Linked DNA regions of Caenorhabditis elegans. The protein of the gene in region 2 interacts with the protein of the main gene of each other region in a biochemical or structural test. Each region holds a gene or a part of one and is shown on either strand. Other genes may lie near its edges. The genes, in order: rnt-1 and bro-1.

Region 1 (7,255 bases), 600 kb from region 2:
CAACTCGGCTGCATTCCTAACTCCACCACCAACATACTACGGTTCTCCAAACCACCCGACATCTAGCAACATTTCGCAACCTCAGCAACCATACTATGGCGCTAACCTTTATTATGGCTTTATTCCCCCTCAGCAACATCCTTCTGCAATGATGCGCTCTCCCAATTACGGCCAGTAAGCGCTTGCCTGTTTCCATCAAAAATTGCCATGTTCTCATTACTATTCGAATATTTTATATAAGTTCCGTCGCTCGTAGTTCTGTAGAAATAATCAACGTAGTTTATGTTTGCTGAAAACTATGAATGAGAAAACTCCCTGTGAATCATATTGCATCTGTAACATCTTTTTTTGTTTTCCCCTGTAGCGTTTAGTTTGGGCCTTCTTAATTGTTTGTTTTTTTAATCAATTTTGTTATTTTGTTGTGTTTCTAATCATCCATCTCCCAACTCTTATCCGAATCTGATGCCATTTTTCCTTGTCATTCGCAATCAATTCGTATGCCATTTTCTTGGTCCCATCTGTAGATTTAAACTCTCCGCATTGCGTTTTACCTCCCTCTCGTTTAATGTATACAAGAAGAATCGAAGGTAACGTTTTATCTTTTTTATCACTTATAAAATTATTCATCTTAAGTACTCTTTCACATCCTCCCCAATTGCATATTTTCTCGCAGATTGCGCATTAATTTTTTTTTCGAATAAAATTTTTTCGATAGTACGACTTGTTGTCTAGTTGAATTCAAACCTGAAACTTTATTAGATATGATGATAATCTATTCCGATTTAGATCAAAACTTGTATTATTATACAAAAAAGGTTGAAAACCGTTAAATGAACCCGTTGAACGTGTTTTAAAACGAGAATATTGAGAAAAGTGACTGAAGAGGTAGGAAACAATTGAGATTTGGAAATTGAGAGAAATTTGGTGTGTTGTGGTAAAATAATGAATATTTTTAAGATTAAAAAGGCCTCCAAATAGTCGGAGAAGAACTATTCGATGAAGTTATTGATACATTTCTTCGTCTTTTTGATTCTACAGATTCCGGAGTTTCTTGAATTAAATTAATTGAAGTTTCTGATGATTTTGTGATTGAACGAGGAGAAGATGGTCGTTTTAACTTCCGATCATCAGAAGTTGGAGTTATAAAAATTGATGGAGATGATAGGCATGTAGACGTATTAAGGGATACTGCAATTAATAAATTATATATATATATTTATTTCCGAAAAAATAATCTAACCATTTTCCTGTTCAACTTTTTGTTTAATCGGAGTTTTCATCGATTCGCTGTGAATTTTCCAAAGTGCAGCTGAGATAGAAGGATGTGGTCCTGGAGAGATAAGCGGAAAAAATGATGGGCTGAAAAATATAAAAATTATTTTATGAATAATGTGAAATTCGAAAAACTTACGGGAAAGTTTGAGTCATTGGTAAAGGAAACCATGGTGGTGGAATCATTGTCATTGGCATCTGAAAATTAAATTTTTAAAAATTGTTTGCAATTTTTTCATGAATGTTCTTCTACAGTTTTTTGCAGAATTTTTCAAATTAAAAACATTTCAAAAATGAATGAATTTTTTATATTGGGGACGCAGAAAAATGTGAATTTTGAAATTGGGGGTGTGAGCGCGCTCCAACGCCAAAAGTCTCCGCCCCCAAACGCTGGGTCTCGTTAGGTATTATCGGATGAATTTTATATCGAAACTGATGCCATAAAATTCATAATCAAATAAAAACCCTTATTCACTTTTCTGTACTTTTCAAAACATTATTTCACAGTAAAAATCATTAGAGTCAATTGAGAGTAGAAACAATTTAATTCTCGAAATCAGGTGAAATCAGCAAAAGTTATTGAAAACGTTTGAATTTCTGATATTCCCGCCAATACCTAACGAGACCCAACATGAGGGGGCGGAGCGTTTTCATTTGCCTCGATTTCAGAAAAAGGAGACTACTGTACTTCTTAAAGTCACATCCTTTTTTTCTCAGGCTTTATTCAACAAATTCTGGTAATTTCGAGACCCTATACTTAAGTAATTAATACAAAATTTTGTTTGTACAAAAATCAAAAAATCGTACCGGTGGTCCAGGCGTTCGGATAATATCATTTGGGAATATTGTCTGCTGTTCTGCCTGCCGTTTCAAAGATCCTTGTGGTTTTGGTATTCTCGCATCCCTTGGTCCATCAACCGTAACCTATAATTAAATTAATAAGTTTTATCGTATTAAACTGACATCATTTCTTCCCATTCCAACATATTTGGCTTCCTTTTTTAAAAAATAAATTTGAATAAATAAACCAAAACTCAATGCAACATAAGAAGTTGCAATTGATAAGAATATTTACCGATTACTAGGCTTTCTGAAAACTAGTTTTTATTTGTAAAGAGGTGTACCAGGTGACGCATCGTGGTTAATAATCAGATAAGAGAGTACGGTAGTTGATGTGCGGTAAATCTATACATTGTTTTAGAAAACTTAAAGATGGAGTAGTTAAAGAGGGAATTTTGTATAAATTTGTACTCATAAAATAACTGATATCATAAAAACGCTTAAAATTTTTTTTGATTTCCTAACATTTTTGGGAGATTCTGAGCAATTTCTCATGTTTGCCCCAACAAAAAATTTAAAAGAATAAAGCTTTTTTTGGTCGACTTCCAAAATTTTGAGTGGCAATTACAGGGTCTCGACACGACGGAAATGTTTTAAAATGTTAGCTATAGAATGGAATACGCTCATTAAAAAGTATGTAGTTCTCACGTCACAACTTTTTTCGATTTTTCGTTGTTTTTTGTAAAATCAGATGCTCGAAGAGAAATAAGAATTAGAGTGGATGTAAAACTACAGTACCCTTGAGAGGTGCATGCTCCTTTTTATTCCAAAAAAATCAGTCGTTTCGAGACCCTTAATTTGTATTATTCATTTGCGAGTTGTAGCAGCCAAAAAATCTATTTTGCCTCAAAAATAGCACAACTTCGGTTCTGGGTAGGGAAATATTTGGTAATTTTTGAATCATAAGTTATCCAATTAATTCAAAAAAAGATTGATACTTACTCAATGTAATTATCAATTACCTATAGGCGCATTTAAAATCTACATGATATCATATAAATACATTCCCTTCTCCTTAGAATTCCACAAAACTTCCCACAATCCATTCGGATAAACTCACCTTGATCACATTTTTGACGGTGGCCACCATCATCGGCGCCGAATGTATAACGATTGTCAAATGGAATTTTCGGCCTGCAAAAGACACAAAAAACGATTGGAAAATGTGCAGTTTTATTATGAGCCGACGATGTTCTTCTCCATTCCGCCGCCGCCGCCACCTCACAAAAAGTATCCCATTAAATGCGGGCATTTGTCGCGCATTTTTATGTTACACTGATGTTCCGGATAATATAATGGCTCCGGTCAGACTACTCAGGTGGAATCATCAGTTTATTGGAAAATTTTATTATTTTAATGTGGAACACGGCCGTTAATGTATGCGCTTTTAAAATGAGAAAATGTTTAGACAGAAGTGGAAAAAATGATAAGAAAACACAAATCAATAGATTTATAAGAGGTTAAATTAATTTTTTGGTTTTTTGATACAACTAAAAGTTACATGCACCATACGTTATTATAATAAACCGTGCATTTCCATGCACTTCCCAGAGCTCAACTTTGGAATTTTACATATCGGTTATTTTATATTTATTGATAAATTTAGGAAAAATGAAGTTCAAAGCCCATAACGTTGTAATTGATAGATTGATAGAAACTAATAGGTAGAATATGAAATGTATTTATCAGGGAATTAAATTATTTAATTTACTATTAGTAATTTTAGGAAGTTTCATTTTTTTTTGTCTCCCAAGTGTCATACTTTTTCTACCCGCATTCTTACCTCTCACCACTTTTCTCTACTTACCTACCAATTGCAGTTACATATACAGTACTTCTTTGTCAGTTGACTACTTTGTACTAATACCCACAAATATGTGGTCATTACCCCTTTTTTCTACCCGCGCCAACCGGTTATTTGGCTACAGTACTCACCTCTGCCGGACCGCCCGACAAACCGCAAATCGTTAAATTTTGCCACTTGTCGATGCACTTTTGCTTTCTCATTTCGAACTTCTTCGCATGGTTTTTCGTCATTTCCAGCCCAAATTGATACTGAAAATATTATTTGAGCAGTGAAGAAATTGCTTTTTTTATTTATTTTGAAATATAAATTTCAACATAAAGCAATGCAAATATAAGGTTTGTTTTATCATTTTCAGAAATGCTCAATCACATGATTTCAACAATAATTCAAGAGAAGGCAAAATTCCAAAAAAATCATTCCAAACTTATTTCAAATCGTAGAGAGTTTTGAAAAAAGTAAAAATATAAATACGAAAGTGAATCAAAAGAAAAATCAATAATTTACCTTCTGTATTATCTGGAACAGGCGTTAGTAATACAACATAAAATGGTTCTTGAAATGATTTATTTGATCTCCAATGCTTCGGAAGAGCTGTGTATAAAATGTTTGGAGATGATGATTTCTGAAAATTTATTGTTTTGTAAAAATATCTCACAATTCTTTTACACTCTTGTTCGTCATTATATAAAATGTAATATTTTTCGATTGATAATTACAAAGTCAATTTCAATGAAACCTCTAAAACTCAACAAAATCATCGAAATGCTTGTGGTTTGAGCTGAATACTTTTATGATAAGAGAATGAAGATTACTGTATTCATTTGATTACTCAATTTCCAACCGATGCAAAATCAATATACTCTATGTCTTGCAAAAAAAAGTTCAAAAACAAAATGTAAAAATGTTGCTATAAGTTGTAGTTTGGTGTAGTGTAATTTTTATTTTTCATTTCATACCGTCTCGTAAATCTTTAAGATGATTTGATAAAATCTGCTCATAATTGACTATGGAAAATCAATACCCTAGAGTCATGAACTACCGTATACTCTCAAGAAAAGGAAGAGTTTTGAAATTTTTAAAAAAGTACATTTAAATTTGTAAAACTTTGCCGGGAAAATTAACTCAACTTTTTCTAATGTTATGAACGAAAATTAAAAAAAAACTGTAGAAATTCCGTTCACAGACTAGATAAATTGTAAGTTCTTTTACGTTCGGATTTTTGGAAATTTTAGGAACAATTGTTAAAAGTCACTGTAACAAAACCAAAATTTCCCAATTTCGAATCGAAATGCTCAATTCAAAATTATTGTGATATACAGGTACAATTTTAAAGTTAAAGTGACTAGATTATGATTTTAGGAAAAATTGAAAAAATCCAGGTTTATCAATATTTCAGGTTTTAAAAAACGATTTTTCTTCCGAAAACCGAATAAATGACTTAAGAAAGTTTAAAAATTGAAAACCTAAGACTTCGAAGTTTTTTTATAAAGAATCACAGGTGTTCAAGTGCCATACATACCTCTAATGTTTTAGCAGGTGCAGGTTGTTGCTCTATAAAATTCCGAACGTGATGGAAGACGTTGGTCATTTCTGTTAGTTTCCCAGAATACTTCCAGCACTGAAAATGAACATATTTAATTGAGTAGTGATAGAAGGTATTTGAAAATTCAAGAACAATGAAACTATTGCTTGCAATCATAATGACAAAAAAAAATTAGAGATCTGAAAGCTTCATGTACATTTTTTATGGGGGTTTCAAGGCGGAGTAGGGAAATTATTTAAAATTACTACTAGTGCTTTTTGTGACCAAATATCATAGTGCATTTTATTATTTTCAGACAAACAGTGACAAATGCTCATTATAATAATTTTGGAAGTCAACCAAAAAATGTTCTACGAGTTTTATTTTTTATAGGAATGCAATAATACTGAATTCCTCGAAAGGTCCAAATGTTTCGAGGTATTTTTCCAAAACTGTCAGAAGACTGAAAAAAAAACTGACAAATCTGAAACGTTTTAGTGTGTCTTATTTGGATACTCAGATTAAAAAAAAAACATTTCGAGTATACATATATGTTTTTTGACAAAATTTCCACTGATCCTTCTCCGCCTTAAAATTATATTTTGATCCATAAAATTCAAAGAAAAACATTTTTTTCGTCGAATAAATTTTAACATAACATTTAGTAAACAAATAAATAAAAACAAGATTGCCAGAAACGAGCCAATGATGTCTTTTGGCCGTGCAACCGCAAAAACTAGATAAATAGACGATTGTGCTCCGTTTTCAACTGATAAAGCGGAAGTGTGGTTTGGAAAGAAACGAAGTTTCAAAATGGGTGTTTATATGTTCAAAGAAGACACACCTATGAAATTGGTTAAAGAATTTGAAAATTACTAAAACGGAACGAAACGAGGGGAAAAAGATTGTTGAATTCCAGAGAAAAAAGGAAGTTATTTTATTTGCTTACACATTCTTTAAACTACCAACTTCTCAAAAATTGATAACTCTATTCAAATAAAGTTTATGAATGACTTCAAATAAGAAAATGAAGAAAATTATATATTCAACAATTTTCCAAGTAGACAAACATTTACTTATGAATCTAAAAAAGTTTAATAACCTACAAGGAAGTTGTGATAGAGTTGGAATATATTTGCATCTTATTTAATTCTTTACAATTTCAATTTTTGTTTCTTTTCAAAAGTTGCTGGATTTTGCCTTTCCTTTTCTAAATATTTTAAAATTTGTGGTAATTTAACAATTTGGCAGTTACCAAATTAGAAAATATTTTGAAATCGGAATTTCCGGAAATTACCAAACAAAACATGCCCAGGAGACAACTTAATTGTAAGAACGTACAATATTTTTTCACTAGGTAATCAAATAATTTCTCCAAAATCGTCCACCATTTCTCGTTATTTCAGATTCGAGTTTTCGCGATAAGAAACAATGAAATTACGGTATTTTTCTTATTGCTCTAACAGAAGTAATTTTGAGTAAGGGGATGGTACTAGAAATATTTTTTCTTATAAAACTTATAGGATGACTCTTTAAATATTTTATATGATAACTTTAAGAAAACTCATAGTTATTTGGATTTCCGGTTTCAAAGCTTCGTTCATAGCTGAAACTCATGTTTGACTTATTAACTGTGAGTTTGTTTTTCTGAACTAAATATTTACTTCAAACTTGTCACAAATTATTTGTTGAAAATCGAGTATTTCAGAAAATCAGAGGTAAATTTCAAAATGACATTGGGGGCGGGCGTATGTGGCTTGAAAGGTGTTGGCGGGCGGTAGATGGGGCGAAAAGATAAAGGACAGGTACTGAAA
Region 2 (5,075 bases):
TAAATTTTTCTCGTTGTTTTATTTTGAAAACATATTCCTTGAAATCTAAATAAAAACACGTTGAAAGTGTAAAAAATCCTGAATGAGCAAAAGAAAAACAAAAAATGGCTTGAAAACAACTTTGATCGGATTACTGTATCTCTTAAAGGCGCATGGCTCACTGCACAACTTCCGTTCGAAAATTTTCCGTTCGTGGGGAGAGCGAGTGCAGTTTTTTGCGTGAAAAAACAATATTTCCCATTGAGGGTAAAAAATATTATGATTCTTCGTTCAGTCTACTTAAAAAAAAAACCAATTTCCAGTCCTCATGGAATTACCGTTATCCACGCAGAAGTCCAAACTTTTTTTAAAACATGAGCGTATACAAAACATTCATTTATACAAAACAAAAAATTCATCCATTCAGAGTAGAAAATTTATTATTCATTTCAGACTTTTCCACCACGTAGGCACATTTGCCTACCTACATCTAACAATCATATTTGGCTTTCCAATTTTAATATCGACATGTACCCAAATACGTTTAATGTTTTATGATGATTCTACGGCTTTTTTTGCCCTTGTCGGCAGATCCTCAAAGAAATACTTGCGCGAGTTGAGAATGGATTTACAACATTCCTAATTTTATGTACATTTGAATGTCATCCCTCTGTCCCCGTTCAATTCACGAAGCATAGGACCTGCGAGTTGTAACAAGTTGGTAAGTGTTGTGGACCGACATTAACACATAAATATTACAACTTTATTTGATTCAATTCGATGAAAGAGAGAAAAGCGAACACAAGGAGATCACAACAAAATGCAAATATATAACGGAAGTGTGGAAGAGATTGAGAGGATAATATTTGAACATAACATATCACAGGGGGGGGGGGGGGGTGGGAGTTATGTTAATAAACAGGCAGTGGATTTATTTTAGGAAGGGCTTAGATTTTACCCTCAGATTTCAAAATTAGATTTGTTTTTTTTTTGGAAGAACTATACATTAAAAGTTTAAGTGGCTTTCAGGGAGTTTAAACATTTCGCAAGATTTTTGGAATTTTTAAAATTAACGCGCTTTGATTTTCTCAAAAATTTTCCAGAAGAAAAAAATTCTTCTATAAATTTCAAAGTTCTGATATGATAGAAGTGGTGAATCACAGCTGTTAAGTTCCCGGTAGAATTTCGAAATTGCCAACTACTACCTTTATCAAAAGCAAACCTATCTAGGTTTACTAATGATAAAGACTTCAATAAGGTGACTCAAAAATTGCCAACTTTTGGAACTCGAAAACTATCACATAGATCTGTTTCTAAATATTACATACAGATTGTCACATATTTTAACCCGTTGTTAAAAGAATCTCCGTTTCAAATGGGAAGACCATCGCGTCGAAGGGCAGCAATTTCAGCATCCGTCAGTCCAATTGGCTCCTCCTCAACTTCTGGAAACACGAAGGTTTCTGAAATCACACGATCACGCTTCTCACGTTGAAATCGTTCGAATCGAACACGTCCCTCCAGTGATTCTGAGTTCATTGCTCCAATGACTTTTACCCAAATTCCATTGAAAACCAGTGGCCGAGAACGGAAACTTATCTGCAAATTTATCCGAATTGAGGATTCAAGGAAAATTTTAATAAATAATTAATCACATTTTGATGTACTTTTTTAGGCTCTGCAAATGGAGTATCACCAGTGCTATGGCGTTAAATTCACCAAATATTAAATATAGTAAAAATTTTCAATAAAATTTTGAAATTTTGTGAACGAAATAGCAGTTCACCTATCATATCTCATCAAGTTGACCAAAAAATGTTTTTTCATCAATTTCGTATATTATTAACATTTGTGTACTAACATTGTAGGGCTCAAATCTGCAGTAATACTTAAAAAATTCAAATTTTTCGAAAATTCGGTAATTTGCCAAAACTTTGATTGAAAATTTTGAAAAATTAAATAAAATGTTTGGGCTAAATTTTGATTTGGTTTCAATTGAAATTTCAAAATTTAGCAAAAATCAAAGCACTTTCTTCTTCGATCTTGGAAGACGCTTACCAATTTTCAAATTTTTTGCTTTATCCCTGGAAAGTTTAAAATCTCGATTTTGTGGGTTTCACGGAACGGATTTTTTCTACAAAAAATTTCACTAAGAACGATTTCTAGGCCCTAATGAAAATGTGGTTACAAAGATGATTTAGATATCAAAACTGATTGTGAACCACCTTTTGTGAACAGATAAAAAATTTCAAAAAATTTTTGAAATGTTATCTATGATATTTGATACTTTTTTTATTTATGCTTAATTGAAGTTAATTCCAACATTTTACTAAATCCCACCTCATTTCCATTAGTTTGGGACCATTCCAACTTGACAGGTATATTGATTCCCGTCTTGCAGAAAGTCTGAAAACACACATACGATGATGTGGATTGTAATCTTGTCGGATCTTTGTCCTTGTTAGATGACATCTAACAGTGTCATTCCATCCATTTCTTTTCCACCTACTTCTTCAATCTGATAACTCTACGTAACGGGAATGTGTTGAAATAGGCAAAGAGTGTATGTTGTTGTAGGTTCTAGTGATAAGAGAGTATGAAATGCGGAAGGAATTATCAGCACCAGCTCAGAATACTACTGTCAAAATAATAACGGAAACATCTAAAAGATCAAAGAGACTTTTTTTTCAGACTCAACCACATAGTTTTCAAAAAAGATCTTTCTGTGAAATTTTTTGGGTTTATCCAACTCAAGAAAATAAGAAAACAAATATATATTTAAGCAAATTTTTTTGATAATAAGAATTTTAGATTTCAAATCCTCCTTGGAACACTCACCAAGGGCATTTCATCTCTCTCCACATGAACCCTAAACCGCTCCCGTCGTTCTGAAAGTGGAGCATGCTCGAATAGAGAGAATTTGGCTTCTGTGAAATGTGAAAGTTGTGTCAGAAAATAATCAGTTTGGAACGATGATTGCTGGTCCGTTGTCGTTCTTTTCATGTTTGAGAATATTCACCAAGTGGAAGAAGGTGGACAAGAAATAGGCGCTCACCGACAAATGTTGTCGGAAACCCGACAGGCGGGTGGCAGGAGGCGGAGTCACAAGAATATTAATGGTGTGCGGGAGAAAGATGAACAGGAGGTAAAGTTGGGAAACATTAATGTAGTTCCTTCAAATTGTTGATAACAATACAATTGTTAAAAAGTAAAACTACAAATGCATACTTATGCTATTCGCTGGAAACCCATTTTTGTCAAACGTTCAATTAATACGTTCCAACTTTTTTCAGACTTCAGTTTTCCCAGTCCGAATTGCCATATTACGGGAACACAAAATTCTGAGAATGCGTACAGCGCAACATATTTGACGCGCAAAATATCTCGTTGCGAAAACTACAGAAATTCTTCAAACGACTACTGTAGCATTTGTGTCGATTTACGAGCGCGATTTTCAAAATTTATTTCTTCTCGAATAGTGACAGCGATATTCCATTTTCTTTAGTTTCTTCGTATTTTTTGCCATTTTTGTTTTTTCTTCAAATATTTCATCGCTTAATAAATGATTTCCGTAAACCGACACCAGTACTACAGTAGTCCTTTGAAGAATTACTGCACTTTTCGCTACGAGATATTTTGCGCGTCTAATATGTTGTGCAATTCCCCATTCTCAGTGTTGTGTTGCTAGTCTCAAAAAATCATATTCCGATCACTTCTGATACTAGTATTATTTCAACCTTAACCACATTTTTTCCAGTAAACCATTTTTATTCGAATCGAATGTTAGTTATAAGTGATCTGACAATAAAGCAAGTGAGTAAGTACAATAATCGAAATATTTAAATCGTTATTTTTTCGACGAAATTGGACTGATTTCTCGATGAGGGAGTTCTTTCCGCACAACCATGTTTTGGAACTCTTCAGCGCATTTTGTGGAGATCTGGAATTAGTTTTTTGGCTTTACATAACTTTGTGTTTGAGCTGAAAAAGCTGCAAAATTAAAAATACACAATTCTCCTCGGGTAGTACACAATCTGCGTAAATCTACAGTTAGTAGTGTTAGAGGGTCAAAATTTGTTGACTTTTTACAACGTTTGACTGAAGCCAATGCTTTTTACAAAAAATATACTTTCGAATTTATAGAAACGAAAACCTTGATAATCCGTCGTTGCTCTCTGATAATATCTCCCCATAAATAAAATTGTCCACATGTTGGGCAATTGGCTTTCAGCGGGTATACGTGGTCCACATGTTCGTTTTTCAGTTTCAAACCGTTTTCCGACAAGCATTTGGAGTGAAAATGTGATGGACAAGTTGCGGAAATACATCTGACAAGACTCCAGAGCTGAAAAAAAGAATATGTTCTTGAATTCTTGAAATTTCAAAATGAAATTCTCACCTTCTCAATATCTTTTCCACAAATTCTACATTCTCCCATTTCCAAATAATCTTCTCGTTTCGATGGCACCAGGCTCATCTCTTTCTTCACTTTTCCAAAACGAAGTTTTGTGTGATCCGGTGGTACACAGCTTGTTGGAAATGGAAGTTCTTCTGTCTGAAATTTTGAGAGAAAAAATCTCGAAATTTCTGAAATGTTCGAGGGAAAAATTACCGTAATCAGCCATCGAAAAGTGAGCGCAAATCGGCAGAATGCGGAACTGTTCATCAGTTCGCAGGCGATACGGAGTCTGAAATTAAATTATTTTAATTAATTAATTAATTATACTTTAATTAAAGGTATTTACCCAGACTTAAAATTTGTGATTTTTGCGCCAAAATACGGTACACGGTCTCGACACGACAAAGTTTTTTTTTAGTTTTCGATAATAAAAGGTATTTTTATTGGATACAATGAAGCCTCGATGAAAGTTCAGCAGCAAAAAATTATTAAAATTACAGTACTCTTTAAAGGCGCACACCTTTCTTATTATTACAAAAAATTATCGTCTCGAGACCGGGTACCGTATATTGACGCGAAAATTGCAAAACTTCGCGTCTTGGGAATATATTTCCTTACTGAAATGCGAACGGAGTCTCTTTTCTCTCTTTTCTCAACTGTTTTTCCTTCAAAGATTTTGAGACCAGTGGGTTCTGCC

What was found.
Region 1: of the proteins of bro-1 (region 2) and rnt-1, one has a biochemical effect on the other in vitro, tested with the Caenorhabditis elegans proteins (2 studies listed by BioGRID, with this or other methods).

Annotation. Positions count from the first base shown.
Region 1 is NC_003279.8:5,782,093-5,789,347, reverse strand, and holds rnt-1 (Runt-related transcription factor rnt-1), read right to left. Parts: upstream 5,538-7,255; 5' UTR 5,508-5,537; coding exon 5,439-5,507; intron 4,707-5,438; exon of another isoform or gene 4,686-4,706; intron 4,542-4,685; coding exon 4,424-4,541; intron 4,168-4,423; coding exon 4,048-4,167; intron 3,247-4,047; coding exon 3,173-3,246; intron 2,197-3,172; coding exon 2,080-2,196; intron 1,471-2,079; coding exon 1,412-1,470; intron 1,360-1,411; coding exon 1,241-1,359; intron 1,189-1,240; coding exon 959-1,188; 3' UTR 738-958; downstream 1-737. Other genes in the region: cpb-3 (Cytoplasmic polyadenylation element-binding protein 3), read left to right, coding at 1-178. UniProt on the Caenorhabditis elegans protein: Transcription factor. Binds to regulatory DNA sequences in order to modulate transcription; negatively autoregulates its own expression, perhaps dependent upon CBF beta homolog bro-1.
Region 2 is NC_003279.8:5,184,892-5,189,966, reverse strand, and holds bro-1 (Core-binding factor subunit beta homolog bro-1), read right to left. Parts: upstream 3,042-5,075; 5' UTR 2,983-3,041; coding exon 2,818-2,982; intron 2,386-2,817; coding exon 2,320-2,385; intron 1,579-2,319; coding exon 1,351-1,578; 3' UTR 727-1,350; downstream 1-726. Other genes in the region: slx-1 (Structure-specific endonuclease subunit SLX1 homolog), read right to left, coding at 3,827-3,919, 4,133-4,324, 4,379-4,534, 4,592-4,667, 4,997-5,075.